4 linked regions of the Xenopus tropicalis genome follow. The protein of the gene in region 1 purifies or fractionates together with the protein of each later gene. This does not show direct contact. Links are inferred from orthologs where the notes say so. Each region holds a gene or a part of one and is shown in the gene's direction. Other genes may lie near its edges. The genes, in order: tns2, utrn, dmd.3 and dtnb.

Region 1 (5,793 bases):
AAAAAAATGCATTTAAAAAAAAATGTATACATTTTTTTTAAAAAAAGCAATCTTACAACAAAACTGCTGCGCATTCGGTCTATGGTACATACAAACAGTACAATGTGATTTTAAAAAGATTTTTCTTTCTTTTGGTGTCATCACATCTCTCAGAGGTTTGTACGTAGGATCTGTGCTCAGCGCTAAACACATAACATTTCCATGCTACAGCCCACAATTCCTGGGGTTAAAATCCTTTTTCCCCCTCCTTTTGGGTGAAAAAAATACTGGTTCAGAATCACCTGTGGAAGTTTAAAGCAGATCTTCTTTTCTACAGCTTCACTTTGGTGCAGTCAGTTAAGGTTTGTGCACTGTGAGTTTGCGGCTGTTAGTATGGTGAGAATATATTTGCTCATTTCAAACAATATTTTAAGATTTGACATGGTTATTTACAAAATGTTCTGGGTCTTAGTGTTGAGTGAGATGTCGGCTTTGGCTCATTTGTCTACACTGGGCCACAGAACGTACTTGTGCCCATTTTGCTCTGATTACACAAGAACGAATCAATGCTGTTTCAGTTGTTGCCGGTGGGTTTTCCTAGAGATGAATGTAGAGGCAATAGTTACTATCATTTCCTTGCTTTCATAGCTGACTAATTCAAGTACATGCATGTTACCTTTTCCCCTACAGAGCCCAGTGAACGTGCCATGAAGTTAAATGCTCCAACATTGCAGCTGCATAAGCACCTCGAGACAGGACCGGCTGTCAGCTCCTCTGCTATTGTACATGCCAACTCTACTACCCAAGGGAGCCCTCCGCACCCAAATGCACCCATGGTCGCTCACATACCAAGAAGCCCCGCTAATCCTTCAGATATTAACATGCACATCCATAGATCAGTGCAAGCAGATAATTTTGTGTATCCACAAAATCCTGTGCATGCAAGTACTCCCATAAATACTTACTGCCATTCTGTGCAGACAAATAACCTTGTAAATGTGCAGAATCCCACCCTTCAGGGCCATAGTGTTATACAAACAAGTCCTACATCCCCTACACTCAGTCCAACTCTTCCAGGCCATAATCAGGGGCAAACAGACTCTACAGCCCTCAGATCAGCTCCATCTGTACACATACAGAATCTAGCTCCTCAAAGCCACAGTCAGGGGCAAACGTGTTCTACTTCCCCCACACAAAGCCTGTCTGTACATGTACAGAATCCAGTGCTTCGAAATCATAGTCAGGGGCAAATCTGTCCTACATCTCCCTCGCACAACCCAGCCATGAACACACAGAACGCAGCTTTTCAAAGTCAGCCTTTGGGTCAAACAAGCCCTGCATCCCCAACACACAGTCCATCTTCCCAAACAGGCCATACTGCACAGTTGTCCAGTCCGTCTGTGCAGTTAAATGGAAGTAGCCAACATATGAGTTTGGCTGTACAAGGGCATGGCCAGCTGCACTCACTGGATGAACGTGGACAAGCACAAGACAATGTGCCCACACACAGCCTGACATTTCCAACAAACAATCCAGTCAACACAAAGAGTTCACCTGACCAATCAGACATCTCCAACCATACACAAAACACAAGTAAAGAGGTACATAACACTGCACTGCCCTCTGAACCACAGACGGGCAACTGTGTAGCCAGGCAGATCACCAATTCATATCCACATTCTCCTAATCACACCCACATTTCAGAGGATCAGACACCTGTGACCACAGCATTTGCACTTACAGAAACAGATCGGCCTCAACAAAAAATGGTCCAATCTCACAGTTCTGTAAGTGTAAACAATTCATCAGTAAAGCCATATAGTACGGTCCATACCCAGAGTCAGCTGGTGCAGACAGACAATTCTATAGAGAGTCAAATCCCTCCAGTACAATTGCACCATCCTGTGCCTAAAGCAAGTCAAGCCCAATTACACAGCACTGTGCACACGCAGCTGTACAGAACCGTTGGTGGTCAGAGTCCATCGGTGCCGACCCAGAAACCTGTGCCTACGCATCCAAACAGCACTGTAGTTACTGAGAGGTGAGAATATATGTGGTACAGTTCTCTCTAGAAAGAAGAATGCTTAATGACCATTATGTAAGTCCATTATAAATGTCAGTAGTGCAATAGACAGGCAATAGCCAACCATATTGAGAAGTTAATTTAATGAAATAGGTTTTTTATTGTAAGTGTGGAATTAAATTATATAAAATTACATTTATTGGCTGAACTGTATTTTTGCCTTCATTTTCTGTTTACTGTGAATAAGCCTTATGTCTATAATATATATTACAGAGCTGATTTGCCAATATCACTAGGGTTTCTTGGAACACCCTCCTACCTTTCACATTTTGCAGTTGCCACCTCTCAGCTATGAATGATCTGCATTACTTCATGCAGCTAAATTAGTTTCTATATGTTATTCTTTTGGGCCAGTGCCGGCCATCTCTGGTCAGTGTTGGACTGCTGGTGGCTCCAAAGGAAAACATAAATAGGGCCACTCACTTTGACTTTTCTCTACTTGCCTTTTCAGTTGCAGCTAAAGTTGCACTAAATAAAGCATGTAAAGGCAGTACAGATGAGATAAAGCTGACTAAAACCAGTCTATAAATATGGTAGTGAAGATGCTAGAAGATAATACACATTTGTACACAGCAGGGCTGCCTATTTTGATTTAAGAGAAAAAATATTTTTGCAGCTTTCTCATCTTCCTTGTTATTAAGGAAAACTATACCTGGCAACAGTGTAGGTCTCTATAAAAATATATTGCATACAGCTCATGCTAGGCCCCATCAGCCAACTAATAGACAGTGTATAAGTTCTGCCTTTTGCTCCCACACTACTTCCTGTTACAGTCAGAGCGGCATTATTCCCTGTCAGCTGATCTCTGAGGGAGCACACAGCCCATCACTAAATGGCGGCTCAAGGGAAAGGATGTAAAAGGGCAATATTTACTGTTATATATATTGCAGTTTGGTAAAGTTCTTTAATAGGCTCCTTAATATGATATTAACTATCTGTTGGTTAAGTGTTCATTGTGGGGGTATAGTTTTCCTTTAGGGCAAGGGCACACTGGCATATTATCAGCCTGTGGATAAGTCTAGGCTGACAATACATCTGTGCGCTTAAAAAATTATTTTAGATTTGGCAGTTGTTGGCAGATATCACATACCTGCAACCAGGTGGATTCAATGCTACTGGGTGCAGGCACAATAATAAGATTTTTGTAAGCGTACGGGAGCCTGCGCTTATCCGCAAGCTGACAATATGCCAGTGTGCCCTTGCCCTTAAGCACAATCTCATACTTTTTATTGCTCTGCTTTCCCCTGCTTTATGTTTCTTTAAGCTTCAAGTTTCCTCAATGTAGTATCCCATAATGCTGTTTGTCTATGCCAGTGTTTTTCAACCTTTTTTGGGCAAAGGCACACTTGTTTCATGAAAAAAATCACGAGGCACACCACCATTAAAAAATTTAACTCTGTGCCTATATTGACTATATATAAAGTAATTCTCTTGAATAGGAATCAAATAAACACAAAGAAAGTATTTTCCGGGACATTTTCTCCACAAACCCACCCCCCCCACTGATTTTTTATTTTTTTTTTATACACACAAAAATTTTATATATATATTATTATTAATTGTTTTCTTACATGTCAGGCTGCGGCATCCAGGGGTGTCCCAGGATTGTCCTCCGGTGGGGAGTAGGGCGGCTGTGCATGGGCCTGGCCCCTGGTGGATCTGGTCTGTCGGGGCAGGGCCTGGGCAGTTGCTCCCCCCGGTCGGGTTGTGCCAGGGCAGGATAGTGCTGCCTCTCCTCTCTGGTTGCTCCGCCCTCCTGGATCCGATGCCGGATGACGTCACAGGCAGTGACGATTTCCGGGCATCATGGAGCCAGGAAGTGGAAGGTGTCCCAGAGGGGACCGGGGGAGTCTTGTCTTCACCTACGGCACACCAGGCAACATCTCAACACTAGTGTGCCGCGGAACAGCGGTTGAAAAACGCTGGTCTATGCAAATAACAATGAATGAAGGAAGAGTAGATGCACAGTAGTAAATACTGAATGAATATGTTGCTTTAAGTGGCCTTTACAAATATTTGGAATTTTCTGACAAGAGAATATGTTATTTCTTACTTACAGGCCTGGGTTACCAGCAACTCATGTGAATGCTCCCCCCTGTGCAAATGAAGCAAATACATTATTGCCAACTTCTTCCTCCCAGTCACATGTAACTAAGTTTGTCCTGCCAGTAACATCAGAGGCTAAAAGGAGTCACACCACATTTGGGCCTGCTATCTCATCTCCCAGTGGTACAACTGCTTTTGGGTCAGGTTACTGTTCTCAGAGTTTTTCTGTGCCGAAGCACACCGTTCTACTCCAGAAGAGAAGTGTCACTATATCATTGCCAGTCAGCCCTGTAAATCCCCAAGGAAAAGAAGCACCGACCAGCCCACCAAAATCCCCAATGGGAAGTCAAAGTGATCTCCTGCCTCCTTCTCCTACTCCTTCATTCCCTATTAGAACTGCCTATTATTCCAGCAGTCCATGCCCACCTAGTATTCAGCCACCACGACTGCCAGAAAAAAATCACTCTCCAGCTGACGGGGCAAAAGTGGATCCCAATGGACTGTCTGAGTGCAACAAAGGCCATTCATCACCAGTGGGTTGGTATTTTGTACATTGATAAGTGACATATTCTTGTTGAACAAGATAGAAGCACATGGGTAATTAGATTACATTGAGACAGATGTAATATCCTGTGATGTTTAAACACCAAGGACTAGATTGGTAAAGGGGGAACCAAAACCACTCATGTTTCTAAAAAAACAAATCTGATCTAAAGGGGTGAAAACTTTACTGGCAATTAAAGGCCTTCAGGTTGTATTTGGCAATTTTAATGCCATGCCAGTATGTACCTCGTGCAGTACACATAGCCCTACAACTGCCGGATCTGCTCCTTTAACAGTTGCCAACAAAGCACAGCTGGGACTGACTTGGCCAACCACCACATCAATCTGTCCAACTGATAGAGAATCTAGGTGATTCTTGGTCAGCTTTAGTTGGCCGTATATTACCTCCTTAAGAAATGTGTCCGTCGGAGGAGTAGTAAAACTCAAGACCCACCTAGAGCAGTTTATCTGTATGAAGCTTCCCGCAGTGAAGACCAGTTAGGATGAAAATTGGAAATATGATTGAAAATTCTTATTTACTGTCTCAAATAATCATGGAACCTTAGGTGGGTGACCTTGTTGTGAATCAGAACAAACACACAATTTCAAAGGGGAACCAAAATCCAAAAAAAACCCAGTTTATATGAAATTCTATAGAATTCTGAGATCCACCTGCCATGGGGAACCAGAGTTCAGCCAATTATTATTCATATTTGGGGCCTTAGAGACATAACCTTACAAAAAGAAAGGAGTCAGCTTCTAGACATAAACATTTAAGCAAATCAGCATCTGCCAAGAGCAAATCTGCCTTGTGTCGAGGGATGCTGGAGGAATATTCAAAACACTTACAATACGCTTTTTTCTGCATTTGTAAATGATACACGCAACTGCAATAATACTAAAGGAATGATCCTGCGTGGCTCATTGGGATCAGGCCAAGTGGCTGGGTTTTTTTAGGGATATTTCGGTTCTGCCGCTATCTACAGGTAGACTGCTTATGTGTCAGTGTGGATAATTCATTGCCCGGTGCAGAAGACACATAACCAGGATTTGTACTGTTTATGACTGGCTATTCATGAATGAAACCATTTCTTTGTTTTGTTATTCAGATACCCAGCAAGATGTTCCAGTTACAGGAAATT
Region 2 (5,793 bases), on another chromosome or scaffold:
CTAGAAGGAACAGGTCCACAGGGCTGACATCCTTGATATAAGCTGGCCATACACATACCGATAAAATCGAATGAAACCTAGTTTTGTACAATTTTGGAACTGTATGTGAGCTCCGAATTATCACCCCCATAAATTTCGTACCATGGCGAACGGTCGTTTAGTCGTTCGACCAGGTTAAAAAATTTTGGTCGGATAAGGAAAAAAAAGTGAAACATGCTTAGCAGACAGAAGTGCTTATTTTCTGGTTTGTATTAAGGTTCTAAAGGAAGAAATGGGAATGAAACGCAAGACTTTGGACCATCTCCATAAGATAGCACAGGATTTGGTTCAGCTTGTTGGCAATAGTAAGGCTTCTAGGAATCTCAAGGGTGACATGGAAGATCTTGCCCAGAGATGGGATGGACTGGTGCATCAGCTGGAGGAATACACTAACCAGGTATGCTAAGAGGAGAGAATGGCTGCACCGGGCCCTCTCAGATTTTTCTGCATGGGGGCCCAGTGCAAACAAGTTATGCTTCTGACCAGTTCCAAGTGAAAAATATACAAAAATAAATGTGCCAGGTGACAAACAGTGAAGTAAAGAATAAATAAATAAAATAAAAATTCTCATCCTGGGGCAGAAGGCTGGGGTAAAAAAGGTGCTGCATAATATGCCAGAAGAAAAGTGCCTTATTACAAGAGGTACTCCAATCCTGAGAGTTCAGGCACCCCACAGTTAAAAATCCTGGGGCGCAAAAAAACTCAGGCTCCATAGTAGCCTACCTTTAGGCCAGAGAATCAGGTTCCTCTCACCAATAGGGGGCGTGGCAGCTTCAATTGTTTCATACTTTACACTACAGAACATAGCATGCAATTATTTACTGGGTTTCCCCATACTTTGTTTGCTTCTTTCCTTTCAGGTTTCTGAAGCTGTAACAACATTAGGGGTTACCCAAGTATCGCGCAAGGTTGTTATTGAAACAGTAACGGTTAAAGAACATGAATTTATTCATCTTACCAAGCAAGACCTTCCCCCTCCACCACCACCAAAGAAACGGCAAATGCTCCTGGACTCAGAGGAGAAGAAAAAGTGGGTTTTGAAACAAGTAGATTGCGATAAAATATCAGATTTGTATTAAGCCACACTATTACCAGTCACATCCACATCTCCTCTTCCATGAGGCATTACTTTGCCACCTGAAGTGTGTGCTTGGTCTACCTGTACATGTCAGTACCTAACCTTCTGCTTATTGTAGTATATTTAGAACAGTATATTTGTGGGCATTTCCTAGGACTGACTAATAGTTGAAAATACAATCAATAAATTCTATATACAGAATAGTAGAAATGGCAGATAGGATCCTGTAACCATGAACTGATATTCAGGAGAGGTTTTGCCTCACTCATAGGTATCACACAATGCCTGCGTCTTTTCAGCGTAATATGTTTATTAAGGTATGTAGGATTCTGCTATTGTGGTTTGCTTCCCCTGCAACCTTGACATATTTAGTTTACCATAGAAGAGTAAATGACCTTGGTGATGCAAGGAACACTCTAGTATACAATTTTGTTTCCTAGCATATATTCAGCAGAATATTTCTTAGAATTAAGAATGAATGCCCTTTAATAGCAATACATACTACAGTGTAAGGGGAATACACCTCCCAGCACTATTTGATACAAGAACACTGGTTTAGCTTGCCTCTATTTAGAGAAATGCTAAGTAGGAGAATGTGGGACCTGCAAAACATGGGTTCAGTTGCCTAAGACCCTAGCAACCAGATAACTGCTAAAATACCAAACTGTATGTTTGGCTGAACAAAAAGTAAAATAACAACAAATAAAAACATACAAAAAAAAAATGAAGACCAACTGCAAAATGCATCATGTCTATATCATATTAGAAGTTCATGTAAAGTTGAACTACCACTTTCAGACCTATTTTGCCTTTTTTTACTTCAGATTTGATGTTGAAGCTGCTGAACTGTTGAATTGGATGATAAAATCCAAAGCTGCACTTCAAACTGCAGAGATCAGTGACTATAGAAAGATTAGCGAAACCTTGGACGTAAAAGAAATGCTAAAGGTAATGTGAAACATGGGAAGGAAGTCTTTCTGAATAGGTGTTTTGTCTGTTGTAAACTATGTACCAGCCAGAGGGATGATCTGTAGTCTTGCCGTCAAACTGCATAATCTTTACTCTGCAGCTTTATTGGCTGCCTGCTCTGTCAAACCAAAGATAATGGAGTCATCTGCATTGTGTGTACATAAATAATCAGCAGGGAGACTTTATGAGAGTTTGCTTTTCATTGGGCAATTTTATAGGATATGCATCATTAATTCTGTGTTCTATTTCTTTTTCTGTCCATGTTCACTCTGGAAATCAAAGCTTTGCCCTGTATTTTCACATTCCTGGACAGGAACTTTTATATTTCCATGATCATTTATAAAGAATCAGAATGCATTAATTAAAATCTTCTGGGTGGCAAAACCGTAATTTGCCACTGTAGACCTGAATACTCCAATATATTTCTAACTGCTGGGTTGGGATATCACTGGTCTGTACAGTGTAGTATTCAGATTGAATTTGGCTTTTTTCCCTCTCTGTTAGAACAGTGTAGCAGATTGCTGCCATTTCCTGAACTGATATTGTGTTAATGTAGATTGACATATAGTATAGAGTGATAATAGACCCACTTTCCTATTTTCATTTTATTTGTGGGCTGGGTTGTAGTGTTGCCTTTACTTTACCTATTAAAATCTTGCCTTTTGCATGCGTGCACTGATAGCTGGAGCAGATGCATTGGTGCTCTGGGACCTTCTTGCACCATTAAATTCATAAATAAGGAGAATATTAAAACCATGTTAAGTAATTTGTTAAATAGGCCAATAATGGATAATTGGTGGCATGCAAGATGTTGTTGAATTACTTTTTGCAACCTCTGATTGACAGCTTAACGCTACTGAGATGTGCTGGAAGTTTAGAGAAATCTATAGGGTTGCTCTGGGGAAATGATTCTCGCTCTGTGGCCCTCTATTGTTTTGCTATACTATAAAAGTAGAAGTCCTCATAGACATTTGATTTAGTAAAGATTATTTGTTTGTTTGTGTTCAATTTCAGGCTATGGAGACAGAAAAGATGAACAGAACGCAAATATTTGAAGAACTTTTCCTTAAAGGACAGTACATGTTAGAGCTGTGCAAGGAAGGTACGATCATATAACATTCTATGATCTAAACTGTGATCATGAACTAAACCGTAGCAAATAGAAAGTAATTATATATCCTGCACTAGTCTAATTCAGTCATAATCTGCATAGAAGCAAAAATGTTGTTTTTTCCTTTAGCATTAATTTTTCAAGGGTGTGTTGAGTATGGAACCCTTCCTATGTAATCGTGGGCAAACGTTTGACTTGTAACTTGCCTTGGAGCATCTTTAAGTTTCTCATTGCAAAATAAGCATTTTTTATTCATTGGCTTTCTTTGGCTGCACGGCAAGACAGTTCCAGCTCTGTGTTGAATGTTGTTTCGTTTCTACAGCTGTTCAAATATTATTCGGAAGTTGCTGAATGATGGCTAACCTTTTCCTTATCATTTAATTTCCTGACTTTTCTCCACTGTCGGCACAATTCATCCTGAACTAACACACCTTGTGTGCCATACATTGATGGGTACTCAAATAAAGTGTCCTTCAAGGGTACTTCCATTAAAGCTGGCCTTTTACCAGGCAAAAGGGCGAGTGTATAAGTAAGACGGGGAGGCTCTGAACTTTCTCCCATTTATACCGTTTATAGTTAAATGCAGCCAAGGATTTAGGGAATTGCATAGCATTTTTTATGATTTGTTTAATTTTGTTTTTCCCCGGACATTTAACTTTCTGTGTTCTATTGTATGATGCTGCCTTTTTATTTAAAATATTGCAAACAACACAAACCAACATATCCACAAAACTACTATTTAGGGTAGGATCATACCATAGTCATACCGGTATAAGCAACAATATGATCAAATAGTGTACTGCATGGGGGTCTGCTAGTCCACCTTCCTCTATGCACTTGTAAAGGATTATTAGGTACATATTTTTCAAAGGTGAAAAGAGAGTTCAACCCAAGTTTTGTATCTGTTATTTGATAGCTCTTGTAATTCTTGCTTGTGACACACTGCCCTTTAGTTAGTTATAAAGAAACGTAGTGTGGATACAGAGTCGCACAGCATTATTTATGTCATTATCACAAATAACCCCTTTCTATGTGTGTACTTTGCATTATACTTATACTTTGTCTTATTTCTGGGGGTTGGTGCAGAAGATATACCTGATGAAGGCCTGACAGACTCCTTGGATAGGCTTCAGTCTGAATGGAAAAAGACCTCCCAGCAACTGGATGAGCTGAAGAAGGGGATACATTATCAGGATGATATCAGTGCTCATTTCAGAGAGCTGGAGAGCTTGGGGCAAATGTTAAACCAGGTGGAGAATAGACTGGCTACCTCTGCATCTCAAGAACAGTCACTGGAATTCCAAGTGGAATCCAGCAAGGTCAGTAATGGTAGCTTCCCTTCATCCATATAAGTACTCCTTATATGTTGAACTTAAAGGCACCATGCAGTCCCGTGTTAATTAAAGTTTTGTCTGACCAGGTGTCAGAAGCATGTTTTTATTATCCTTATTAAAATGAACTCAAACCAACGTACCAGTGCAGACTATACCTCCAGGGGGGTATGCCATTATTTAATACTAATGAAAAGGCATTTTATTGAATGGGTATGGTGTGACACAGCTTTTTTTTATCAGGAATTTATAATTTGGCACGTGCTGTTAAGCTTTAACTCTTACGTCTGGCAGTGTTATACAGTTGTTGTTCATATAGTATGGCATAGTCATTTAGCATTGATGACAGCGAATGATTAACAATATTTATAAATTATTATTATACTCTGTCAACCGGTGCTGGGAATGAAAGAAAGGCAGAGGTTTGATATTCTTTTATGAAAGCATTTCCAAATGTATAGTATAAACATTGGCAGATTGTCTGTCTGCTTTTTTTATTTTCTGAAAAAGGAGTGGAAAAGCTGATTTTTTTTAATGCATTTGCCTTGTGACGCACATACCTACAAATGGGTTGCTATAGAACACTGTGATGGAACATGCATGTATAATATCTAACATTTCTTTTTAGGAAAATTTATCCAGACTCAATGAGATTAACTTCCGTATTGAAAACCAAAAATCCGCTGTGTTGGTACTGAACGCACACCCCATGGCTCCAGGTTTTATTGGCTCCAGTTTCAGTGGCTTTCTAGATCAGTACCACAGAGTGAAGAACAGAGCCGAGCAACAAGCCCAGGAACTTCAAAAAGGTTTGTATTTAGAAAATATCTTAATAATATAATAATAGGGTTAGGGTTAATATATCATTTTAAATATGCTATGTTGTTTCATTATGTATCCAACTGCAATTAATAGTCCTGACCTATGGTAAAAAGAAACTAAAAAGACACATCCTTTGTGATGAAATATGAATATTAAAATTTTGTTTCTTTTTGAAGCCTTGGAATGCCAGCCCAGTCAATCTTACTTGGAAACAAGAACAATTACAAAAGAAACATTGTTGGCATGTCACCAAAAGTTACAGTCGCCCTTAACTGGCCTCTGCGACCCCGTAGCAGTGGAAAAGGCCCTGCAAGAGACTAAGGTGGGTTCTTGAAAATAGATATTTTGTTTTGTATGCTTAAAAAGCTGAGGTAAACCCTGTTCTAAAGGGACCAAGTACAGTAGCTATATGATAAAAGCTTTGCACCTTTATTCTGTGTTGT
Region 3 (5,793 bases), about 40 Mb from region 1:
TACATCATTACTGTAATGTAATAGAAAACATTGATTTGCACTAATGCATATCTAGCAGAAGATGCAAGAGCATGAACGTCTCCCCCTTTTAACATCATGCTCTACTTTATTGTATTTTATCATAGTTTTCAAGTGTATTTTCTTCCTTTTTTGTGATCAGAGTGAAGATAATGAAGAGCCTGTGAAGGAATTGCTGCTAAGGGGAAATAATCTTCAACAAAAAATTACCGATGAGAAAAAATGTGAAGAAATAAAACTAAAGCAACAGCTTTTACAATCAAAACACAATACTCTAAAGGTAACCAGTATGATATATACATAGAAGGTTGATATTATAGTAAAATATAAAATTTTTATATGATTTTGTGCTTTTACTGTTAAGGATACAGTATGTCTTAATAATGTTTAAATATTTTATTTATATATATATATATATAATATATATGGTTTGGATATCATGAGCAAATGGAAAAATAGCAATTAGACAGTAATACAAATTTATGGGGGTAATTTATCAATAACTGAGTTTGATTTTTTTTCACGATTAAAGGTTTTTAGTGCTAAAACTCACAAAATTTGAAAAATGGTTCAAAAACTCTAATGTCTGATATTTATTAAGTGCAAAATAAATTAAAACTCTGTGTAAAACATCAGCATCTAAAAGCTTGCAAGTTTATCTAAAAGTCAATTAAGTTTGGAAAGTATTCAAGTTTTTTTTTATTCGAGTTTTCCATGTTAATAAATAAGCAAGCATTCAAGTTTTTTTTTAAATGTGAGTTTAATACAGTTAGAAAAACACACTTGAATTCACAAACTCGAAAACTGATAAATAAGTCCATTAGACTTAGAATTTTTGAGTTTTCATTGTATTTTTTTAAGTTTTTTTCTTTGCTTCTACTTACATCTGTATAGTTGCATTATCTGGCAAAATAACCCAGTAAATTTGCAATGCTGTATAAAATGCTTAATTCTGTTTTAGAATAAAAGTTGAAACAATTCTATACATATTTTAAGTATAAATACAGCAGCACGTCACATACAGCAGGGGCGTCACAAAGAGTTTTTACACTTTGTTCATAGGTAGAACATCTTACCTTTTAAAAATTTTGAAGTGCAGCAAAAGTAGGTTCATATAGCCACTGATCAGTATAATATAAAATGCATATTAGCAAGATTAATGTACATTTTGGGCAGATGCTGGTACCTCATGCTGAGAAGAAATATAATACAGGTATCGGACCCCTTATCCGGAAACCCATTATCCAGAAAGCTCCGAATTACGGAAAGCCCGTCTCCCATAGACTCCATTTTAATCAAATAATTCAGAATTTTAAAACTGATTTCCTTTTTCTATGTAGAAAAAAATCAGTACCTTGTAATTGATCCCAACTAAGATATAAATAATCCTTATTGGATGCAAAACAATCCTATTGGGTTTAATTAATGTTTTACTGATTTTTTAGTAGACTTAAGGTATGGAGATCCAAATTACGGAAAGACCCCTTATCCGGAATACCCTTGGTCCCGAGCATTCTGGATAATGGGTCCTATACCTGTATTCAAAATGTAAATTTATTTCTGAAACTGATTGCAACTTGATGTCTCTGGGAGTAATAAGTAATAAACTTACATCTTTACAGTACATTTTCATTTTCCAGTAGATAAGAAACAAAAATATTCTTGCAAAAGAAGAACACATATAATAATTTAATATGACAGTGTAGTTTTTAGATTTTGTCTGTTCTGAATATTTTTTAAGTTAAGATGTCCTGTTGATTAATAAATAATTAATATGAAACTTTATTTGAATGATTTCATTTTTCTTGACCAAGGTGAAAGTGGTTTGCTTACCAAAATGTTTTTGCACTTCTTAGAAATAATTTTGGGGCTCTTGTGGCTATATGGGGGCTAAACATAAATATTACAATGAAGATAATGCATTAGGAACAACAGTATACAAGAATTGGCTGATCAACCATAATATATATACTAGTAATACATTGATTCTGAGAAAATGAAGCTAGCAATGTGTAATGGAGTTGGAAATGGAAATTATTCCAGATTCTATTATATTCTAGGTGTGTATATATAATTCACTTTAAGTATTCTATACACAGATTTTGAGAACTCAAAGAAGAAAAAAGGCATTGGAGATCTCCCATCAATGGTATCAGTATAAGAGGCAGGCTGATGATTTACTAAAGTGCTTGGATGACATTGAAAGAAAAATTGCAAGTCTTCCAGATCCCAAAGATAACCAGAAACTTAAGGTATTCTCACTAAGTCTGCTCAGAGCATTGTTTTATCTAAATATTTTATATTCTATAAAAAAAATATTTTTGAACAGGCTGTAGCAGTCCATTATATTTAAAGGGCCATTTAAACTGTCAACAGTCAAAGAAAGAGCAATTAAAATAGGCAAAAGCATGCAGGGAAAATTCACAAGCTTTGCTAAACCTTTTCATGCTGACAGTTGGCATTTTGAGCTATGTTGTGTATTGCCATGTAAACAAACATGCAGCATAGCTCTAAGAGTTGACAGAAAATATGAAATCTATGTTGAAGGCATTAAGGTATTTTTATGCCAGCACCATAGAAATCTTGTGTGAGTGTTCTTGGTCATTTAGTTTCATATGAATTCATAAGGTGCCACAGAACCTATTGCTACACTAAAGTTTTCCTGCATTAAGTTAGGAAACTCAAATGCCACAGAGTGGCATAAGGATTATTTAAAATTTGAAATACTAATTCTTCATCGCAATGAGCCAAACAAAAGCTAGCTTGTCCATTAATATGCCAGACCTTTTAGCAGTACATGAAATAACAGTATTATATTAAGAGTTATGTAGTCTAGGGCATCTATTGAGTATATCAACAGGCCCTTGTAATCAAATAGATATACCAACTAATGTATTCACTGTGGACCCAGATATGGGCATTTTGGTTAGCTGACCATCATTATCTGTCTTTGTATATGCTGATTAATTTGACATTACTTAATAGTATTATTGAATTACTTCTTTCAAGCTTTCAAGTCATACATATAATTAATTTACAAAGTCACAAAATACAATTTACTGGCACAGCAAAGTCACACTGTCTGGAAGCACTTATTGAGAAGGGGACAACAAATTTATTAGCAGTTCACAACACTCCCCACATCATTTATTTGACATATAACATTATTACTACAGGAGCTAAAAAAATTGTTAACAGTCAATTGTTATACAATCTGGTGGAGCTTAGTTGGACACCAAAATATGTATGGCAATATGTACTAAACAGCATTAATGGAATGAAAATATGTAACAATAAGAATGAAAAGTTTATTACACTGCAGATTTTTTACTATGGGATATATAATTTTAAGACCAGCCTAAAGGTGGCATAATTTATTTGCATAACAGTTATAACAATAATGTTATATTGCATACATTATGTGCTGGTGCAAATGATGAAACAATCTTTTTTTAATAAATCCTTTTCAGTATTTAAATGAATAAAAGAAAGGTGGCAATGTATTTGCATTTGAATCATGTTCAAATGTTTTAACTTCTGTTATAATGTTTCTTTGTTCCAGATGATCTAATGACTAACAGTACGTGGATGACCTCTCTCATATTAGCACACTTCTTTCATCAAAACATGCTCATATGTTACTGTGTAGTCACTCAAACAGTTCATAACTCTTAATTTGGATCACTTTATTTTGCTTCATTGTTGCTTTAATTTGCAATTCAGTCACAATATAAAATTAAACATTGGCCTTTGTCTGTTCTGTAGATGTAACTGACAAGTTTTATATAGAAAGCATGTAATAGCTTGTATACCTATATGAATAGAAATTCATATCTAATTTACAATTAAACAATGATCCCAAGAATCTTAATTACACTGGACATTCTTTGTATACTAGTGTAAGTTTTGTAATGCATTTTAAATTCACTTGCTACATTAAAAACAAGGGGTTGGAAGAAGACAAAGTATTGCTACTACATCTAATGCAAATTACTTAAGTAGTTAGCTAACTGCTCTGGGCCCTGTATTGGTTTTACTCAATAGGAGATTGATGGAGAACTGGAGAAGAAGAAAGAAGAACTGATTTCAGTGCACAGGCAAGCTGAAAGTTTGTCTAAGGAAGGGGCTGGCAAAGCAGTGGAGCCAACTCTGATCCAGCTCAACAAACGCTGGAAAGAAATTGAGAGCAAATTTGCTCCATTCCGAAGACTGCACTATGCACAAATTGTGAGTTGCTATTGGCAAACGTGTTTGTTTGCAACTAACCAAATACTACTAACAAGAAGGAAAAATGTGTGGCCATTTTCCCTGCTGAGTCTTCAAAAAATGTTTGAGCGTGGCCTCCTCTGTCTGTACTACATCCTCTAATGTTATAACCAACCCTTGTACAACACTGTTTCAAAATCATTATATCATATATTAATGCATGTTACTATTTGTTGCTTTGTTCATTTGTTCATAACATTCATATCTAGTGAGAAGTAAAAGCAATAGGAATCCAGATATCCATCCCATGCTGTTTTAATTTCTTTATTTTGTTTTGTTTTCTAATTCAATTATAAAGACCAACATATAGATGTTGTGTGAGTCAGTAGTGCATAAAACTTTGCCCTTGATATTTAACTTGTGTAACTCATTATACTGTATCTTGGCTTTTTTTTAATACAAACTCAGGAATAATTGTTCTTTCACTTATAATCATGAATACAGCAAGTACTGAGAGATGATTTTGGGGATTAAGTCATTTTTTTCCAAATGTTCTATCATCAAGACTTGATGGAAAGTACAGTACCATGGATACAGCTGTATTATTGACTTGACCATGTCACCTCTTCTTAAAAGTTGGCTTGTTAAAGATTTTTAGTGGCCTGGTTTTGTGCACCCTGATCTCACATTATCTGGTCTGTGTAACATATAGGACATATATAATACATATTTTAATTATTAAGGTGGTTTAATACTATTGGCTTGAATCCCATATAGCACTATCATAAGTAAAGTAAATTATATTAGTATCTGTGGATATGCAAGCATTAAATGAGCTATGACTCAGTGTAGATTTTTTTTTTTTTAATATAAATGTCAATCATAGTACATTTGCTTGTATTATAGGCAGCAATGGTTTGTCTAATTATGTATGTGTTTTTCATTCATTAGACTGACAGAAGCACTTCTGTGGATAGAATGGTGCAAAAAGTTTTCTAAGAATATGCAAAAGCAATTCTGTTTTAGTGTTTAACCTGGGCAAGACCTTAATAATGATCACAAAAATGCATCATCCTGTCCATGAAAGTGGAATATATTTTAATAATAGTAATTGCAGTAAAGGAATGGAAATAGTTCCTGTTAGGGGCTTCTCATACCTTTAATTTGCCTTCAATGACTTTCTAAGTGACTTTAAAGGGTATCATATAAGTAGTTAGCATATGTTTATTGAATATGTAAGATCTCTGAGACAATATGGCTGAAGACAATAAGTAAATGCATCCAGTAAAAGTAGTTGTATAGAAATGTGCATTTACTCACTCATTTCATAATGTAGACCAGCAACATTAGACCAATACAGTAATTTCAATCAAGGAAAGGGTAGTTCTTAGGTGTTTATTAGCCCATAAAAGTAAAGGTGCATGGGCTTAAGCAAAATATGTTGAATATAAAAAGGACAATCTATGTAGCACACAATTTTAATATAAAATATTTCACACTTCTATACATGAATGGTGCTAATTTAGAAAAGACATGCAGGCCTCCTAAAGTGGACAAATAAACTTCTCA
Region 4 (5,793 bases), on another chromosome or scaffold:
CCCAATTGGTGCAGCCTGGCCGCTCAGAAAACTGATACTGAAACCTTTGGAGCAGCTGAAACAACTGCTTACTTTGCTCATTGGTTAGCTGCTCACTAATAGCAACATCCTCCAAAGTCTGAACCCCCAGTGCCTCTTGTAAGAGGTCAGGGAGAGCCTCCTCATGGCGCCCCTCTTCCAGCAGACTACAAATGGCAGCCACGGTGCCTTCTCTTTCTACGTACGGTTTCATCATATTTACATGGACCGTCTTATACTGGTCCTGGTTATCAAGAGGGGAGACCACGTAAGTAGTATCATGAATGGATTGTACCACCACATAGGGCCCTTCCCAGGCTGCTTGCAACTTGTCTGACCTCATTGGTGTCAGTAGTAACACCTTGTCCCCCGGACCGAATCGCCGGTCCCTGGCATTCCTATCATACCAAACTTTTTGTTTGGTTTGAGCAGCTGTCAGATGTTCCTTCACCAGAGCGGTCATTTTCTCTAGACGTTTACGAAATTGTAGAACATAAGGAACTACAGGAAACTCAGGGAATTGGGCTCCCCCCTCCCAGTACTCCCTTAGCAAGTCTAGGGGGCCTCGAACCCGCCTCCCATACAACAACTCAAAAGGAGAGAACCCAGTAGACTCTTGGGGAACTTCTCTATATGCAAACAAAAGACAGGGCAGAAACTTCTCCCAGTCACCTTCTCCAGCCTCCACAAAAGTTCGTAACATATTTTTAAGAGTCCCATTGAAACGCTCACACAGGCCATTAGTTTGAGGGTGGTACGGGCTTGAGCGAAGAGAGGTGACCCCACAGCGCTGCCATAGACACTGAAGTAATTGGGACATAAACTGTGGCCCTTGATCGGATAGGATCTCACTAGGAAACCCTACTCGTGAAAAAATCTGAATCAGTGCATCTGCAACGGCTGGGGCATCAATTCTCCGTAAAGCCACCGCCTCTGGGTACCGGGTGGCATAGTCTACCATTGTAAGTATATATTGCTTGCCTGTCCTGCTGGGTCGGCTAAGGGGTCCTATCAAATCAACAGCAACTCTCTGAAATGGCTCCCCTATCACTGGTAAGGGTCGCAATGTATGCTTGTTCCGCTCCCCACTTTTCCCAACCCTCTGACAGCTGTCACATGATCGGCAGAACTGTGCCACTTGTTGTGACAACCCTGGCCAATAGAAATTTTGTAGCAGGCGATAGCGCGTGCGAGAAATCCCTTGGTGCCCTGCGAGGGGTACCTCATGTGCAAGGTGCAGCAACTGGGTCCTAAATTTGGCAGGCACCAACAACTGACGGCATGCTTCCCTTTGTTTTCCTCTAGGGCTTTTGAGGACTCTATAGTACAACCCATCCTCCTGCACTATTTGTTCCCCTGCTTCGGTACCTACCACCCCTTGCCCAGCTCTGTCTCTTAATGGCTGAAGACTAGGGTCTGCTGCTTGTTCAGCCCTAAAATCCTGCCAATTACCTATGTCAAATGAGTCATCAGTCACATCTGTCTGCCCATTTACCTCCTGGACAACTGCCGGTGGCTCGCCTGACTCTGCCTGCCGCCTCGTGATGCTGCAGCAAATGTCTCCCACATCATTTCCAAGCAGGACATCAGCAGGAAGTTGATCCATGACCCCCACTTCATGCAGCACGGGCCCTTCTCCCCAGTCCAAAGTCACTTGTGCAATTGGCACCTCTCTGCGCTGTCCTCCAGCCAGAATCACTCGGGCCATTTTCCCCAGAACGATGCGATTTAACGTCACCACACTAGGTTCCGCCAGAGTTATAAAGGCACCAGAGTCCAGGAAACCTTCCACTGGGTTTCCATCTACTTGCACTGGAATCACATGGCATTTTCTCTTGGACTGATCTGCCCAGTGTATCTGCATTACTGCAAATTCGGGGGTCTCACTTAGGTTGATTTCAGGCAGGTCACACTCTGCACTTTCCTTCTGAACAGTGGCGACAGGTCGAGCAGGCGTCACCTTTGGAGCCCCTGACACAGAAGGAGATCGCTGGTTTAGAGGGCAAGAAGCTTGAAAGTGACCCAGGGCCCCGCATCGAAAGCAGCTTCTAGGTCCAGCCCCTGGTAGCGGTGGGTGGGGAGCAGCATTAGTGCCAGTGGAATGCGGATGAGAGCCTGGCAGCTCTCTTGCCCTGGGACCTGTTGTACCTGGTGCTTGGGGCCCTCTCTTTGTAGGCATCCTGGTTTCCATATACTTGTCTGCCAACTGGGCAGCTTCTTCTACTGTCTGTGGCTCACGGTCTACAACCCACTCTCGGACTCCTGGGGGGCACCGCTCCAAAAATTGCTCTTTCAGGCATAATTGCCTTAAGTCCTCCATTGTTTCAGCCCCAGACCCTTTAACCCACTTGTCAAGGGCCCTTGATAACTTGTTACCAAACTCAAGGTAAGTATCCTGGGGGGTCTTTAGCAGTGACCGGAATGTTTGCCGGTAAAACTCTGGGGTGATAGCATAACGGATCAGCAATGCTTGTTTAATCTCCTCATAGTCCAGTCTTTGTTCATCAGACAAGGCCCGAAATGTAGCGCTGGCCCTTCCAGTTAGCTTGCCAGAAAGGATTCGGGGCCAGTCCTCTTCTGAGATGTTATGGGCCCTGCACATAATTTCAAATGTCTCTAGAAAGGCATCAATGCTGTCCTGCCCTTCGTGAAATGTGGGGAAGGCAGTGGCAAGCTTCAGAATGTCTCGTGCCCGACTCTCCACTGAGGACACGGATAGCCTACCATGCTCCCCTAAGCCATGTCCTTCACTGGCCACCTCCTCCTGCACCATTTTCATCAACTCCATCTTTTCTGCCACAGTCAGCTCCTCACGGAACAATTCCAGCCTTTGTTTAAACACCTCTCCAACCCTGTCTCGGGTAGGGTTGGCTGGTGGCCCCCGGACCGCTTCAGGGGCCCCAGCAATAGCAACATCTGATGTAACAGTCTCAGCATCTGAATGTAGGAGGGGCAGCAGTAAAGCAATAATCTCTGCCTTTTTCTTCCCTTCTGGGGCTATGCCCCTTCTGCGACTCCACTTTCTCAGAGTGGCAAGGGTTAACTCCTCCAGGTTTACCCCCCACACCCTACTATGGAGCCTTCGCTGCCAGAAGATAAAATAGATCCGGTGGGGGTGCAGTTTTGAGCCGTTCCTGGCACAGATACCCCCACACACTGCAGGGTGGCACAAAAGAAAGGACCAAGTGAATGTATGCCTGCAGTTTGCCAATAAAGCACTGGAGTGGCCCAAATAGGCCAAAATAAAGTTTTTGTTATCCTCAAGGTCAAATCAGTAAGCGTGGGCTGCTCTCCCCCCGCAGGGATGTGGCACCTTGGGCACCTTGTTAGGCTAGGGGCCACTGGCACAGACACACCTTTCATCGGAGTTCTTCTATTTTCATATCTTTTATTGATCCAAGGATAAACAACATATAACCCTGTATGCTCTTATGTGTAGTCCAATATAAACATCTATACAAAGCACAGGCTTTTTATATACTCACATTATCTTCATACACTCCATGTATTAATCTCATATACTCCAAATACTCATAATATACTCAGGTTATCCTCTATACACTCTTACTCCTACTTCTACTGTTCTCAGATTGTCCGTTGTGATAGGATCTGTTATTCGGAAACACTTTATCCACAACATACATAGGTGCCATTTCCTACACTGTCCTGTTCTGTTTTATTTCCCCGATGGGATATAAAGATTCAGTGATTTGTTAGTTTCGCCTCGGCGGGGCTCCCCTCTGTCCTACCCCCATACTTACCCCCTGACCCACCCCTGTACTTACCCCTTGCGCTCTGTCCCACCTTTGTACTTACCCTCTGTCCTACCCCTGTACTTACCCCCTGCCCTCTGTCCCACCCCCATACTTACCCCCTGCCCTCTGTCCTACCCCTGTACTTACCCCCTACCCTCTGTCCCACCCCCATACTTACCCCCTGCCCTCTGTCCTACCCCTGTACTTACCCCCTGCCCTCTGTCCTACCCCTGTACTTACCCCCTGCCCTCTGTCCTACCCCTGTACTTACCCCCTGCCCTCTGTCCTACCCCTGTACTTACCCCCTACCCTCTGTCCCACCCCCATACTTACCCCCTGCCCTCTGTCCCACCCCCATACTTATCCCCTGCCCTCTGTCTTACCCCTGTACTTACCCCCTGCCCTCTGTCCTACCCCCTGTACTTACCCCCTGCCCTCTGTCCTACCCCTGTACTTACCCCCTGCCCTGTCCTACCCTTGTACTTACCCTCTGTCCCACCCCCTGTACTTACCCTCTGTCCCACCCCTGTACTTACCACCTGCCCTCCGTCCCACCCCCGTACTTACCCCCTGCCCTCTGTCCCACCCCCGTACTTACCCCCTGCCCTCTGTCCCAACCCCGTACTTACCCCCTGCCCTCTGTCCCAACTTTGTACTTACCCCCTGCCCTCTGTCCCACCCCCGTACTTACCCCCTGCCCTCTGTCCCAACCCTGTACTTACCCTCTGTCCCACCCCTGTACTTACCCCCTGCCCTCTGTCCCACCCCTGTACTTACTCCCTGCCTTCTCCTCTCTCTTTCAGTTCACCTGGTTGACATTTGGAATATGATAGAAGCTTTCCGGGACAACGGCCTTAACACACTGGATCACAACACAGAGATAAACGTGTCCCGGCTAGAGACCATCATATCGTCCATATACTACCAGCTCAATAAGCGCCTCCCTTCCACCCATCAGATCGGCGTCGACCAGTCCATCAGCCTTCTGCTCAACTTCATGATCGCTGCTTATGACAGGTCGGTCCCGTCGGCTTTCCCTGTATGTGTGGGTGTCAGCAGTGATTCCCTTCTGGTTCCGACTACTGACTCAGCTGGGAATGTTCTATATACACAGAACCTATTCAGTGCCAGCAAGCAGACTTTGCAGTAATACCGGCCCAGTAACAGAGCAAGGGCAAGTGGGGCAATACCCCTGCATGTTTATTGGGTAAGCTGCAACATTTCAGCCCCCCAGTCACATGCAATAAACATACAGGGGGTTGCCTTCTATACCGAGCGCCGAGCCCACAGTACCAGCAAAGATATGAGATTCTGGTTATACTGGGTTTGTTCCACATCCGAACTGTACCTAGTGATCTTATTAGCAGTAATAATTCACTATCCCTTTAGGCCAGGAGAGGCCCTGTAGATCTGCTAAGGCGGATGGAGTCAGAGGGAAGCTCCAATCAAGGCATTGGCAGCCTACAGAGAAATCCATGTTGTTGTGGTTAGTGGCTTGTACTGGAAACCAACCTATGTTTTGTCTCGGGAGCAAATTGGGAAAGAAGCTTAAATTATATGCCCTGGGGTTAAACAGAAACTCCGGTTGGGAGAGAAGCCACATCCACAAGGGGAAGGTGGAGAGAAGGGGGCTAACAAGTAAGGATTAGGGGCTGGATAAGGCACTGGGGCAGCCTGGGAAGGCAAGAGCTGGCTTTGGCTAAGGAGGCACACAGCTCTGTTTGTAGGGGAAATGGGAAGCTGATTGTAGATAACCCCACAGGGCTATGTTGCCTCAGGGCTAGGGTGCCTCAGGGCTAGGGTGCCAGAGGGCTAAGGTGCCTTAGGGCTAGGGTGCCACAGGGCTATGTTGCCAGAGGGCTGTGGTGCCAGAGGGCTGTGGTGCCACAGGGCTAGGGTGCCACAGGGCTAGGGTGCCAGATGGCTATGTTGCCTCAGGGCTAGGGTGTCACAGGGCTAGGGTGCCAGCCTAACCAAGGAGGAGTTAGGAGTTGTTCTTGTGCAGAAACATTCCAACTGC

Evidence for each region.
Region 2: the proteins of tns2 (region 1) and utrn purify together in Homo sapiens (affinity purification with mass spectrometry; 4 studies listed by BioGRID and IntAct, with this or other methods). This does not show direct contact. The link is inferred for Xenopus tropicalis from reciprocal best matches to the Homo sapiens genes TNS2 and UTRN.
Region 3: the proteins of tns2 (region 1) and dmd.3 purify together in Homo sapiens (affinity purification with mass spectrometry; 3 studies listed by BioGRID and IntAct, with this or other methods). This does not show direct contact. The link is inferred for Xenopus tropicalis from reciprocal best matches to the Homo sapiens genes TNS2 and DMD.
Region 4: the proteins of tns2 (region 1) and dtnb purify together in Homo sapiens (affinity purification with mass spectrometry; 3 studies listed by BioGRID and IntAct, with this or other methods). This does not show direct contact. The link is inferred for Xenopus tropicalis from reciprocal best matches to the Homo sapiens genes TNS2 and DTNB.

The regions. Positions count from the first base shown.
Region 1 is NC_030678.2:147,555,451-147,561,243, reverse strand, and holds part of tns2 (tensin-2), read left to right. Parts: intron 1-669; coding exon 670-2,020; intron 2,021-4,121; coding exon 4,122-4,645; intron 4,646-5,760; coding exon 5,761-5,793. UniProt on the Homo sapiens protein: Tyrosine-protein phosphatase which regulates cell motility, proliferation and muscle-response to insulin. Phosphatase activity is mediated by binding to phosphatidylinositol-3,4,5-triphosphate (PtdIns(3,4,5)P3) via the SH2 domain.
Region 2 is NC_030681.2:45,460,231-45,466,023, forward strand, and holds part of utrn (utrophin), read left to right. Parts: intron 1-256; coding exon 257-436; intron 437-899; coding exon 900-1,069; intron 1,070-1,941; coding exon 1,942-2,065; intron 2,066-3,100; coding exon 3,101-3,188; intron 3,189-4,283; coding exon 4,284-4,516; intron 4,517-5,156; coding exon 5,157-5,337; intron 5,338-5,526; coding exon 5,527-5,672; intron 5,673-5,793.
Region 3 is NC_030678.2:107,804,945-107,810,737, forward strand, and holds part of dmd.3 (dystrophin), read left to right. Parts: intron 1-160; coding exon 161-298; intron 299-2,117; coding exon 2,118-2,270; intron 2,271-4,062; coding exon 4,063-4,245; intron 4,246-5,793. UniProt on the Homo sapiens protein: Anchors the extracellular matrix to the cytoskeleton via F-actin. Ligand for dystroglycan.
Region 4 is NC_030681.2:161,051,901-161,057,693, forward strand, and holds part of dtnb (dystrobrevin beta), read left to right. Parts: intron 1-4,576; coding exon 4,577-4,790; intron 4,791-5,793.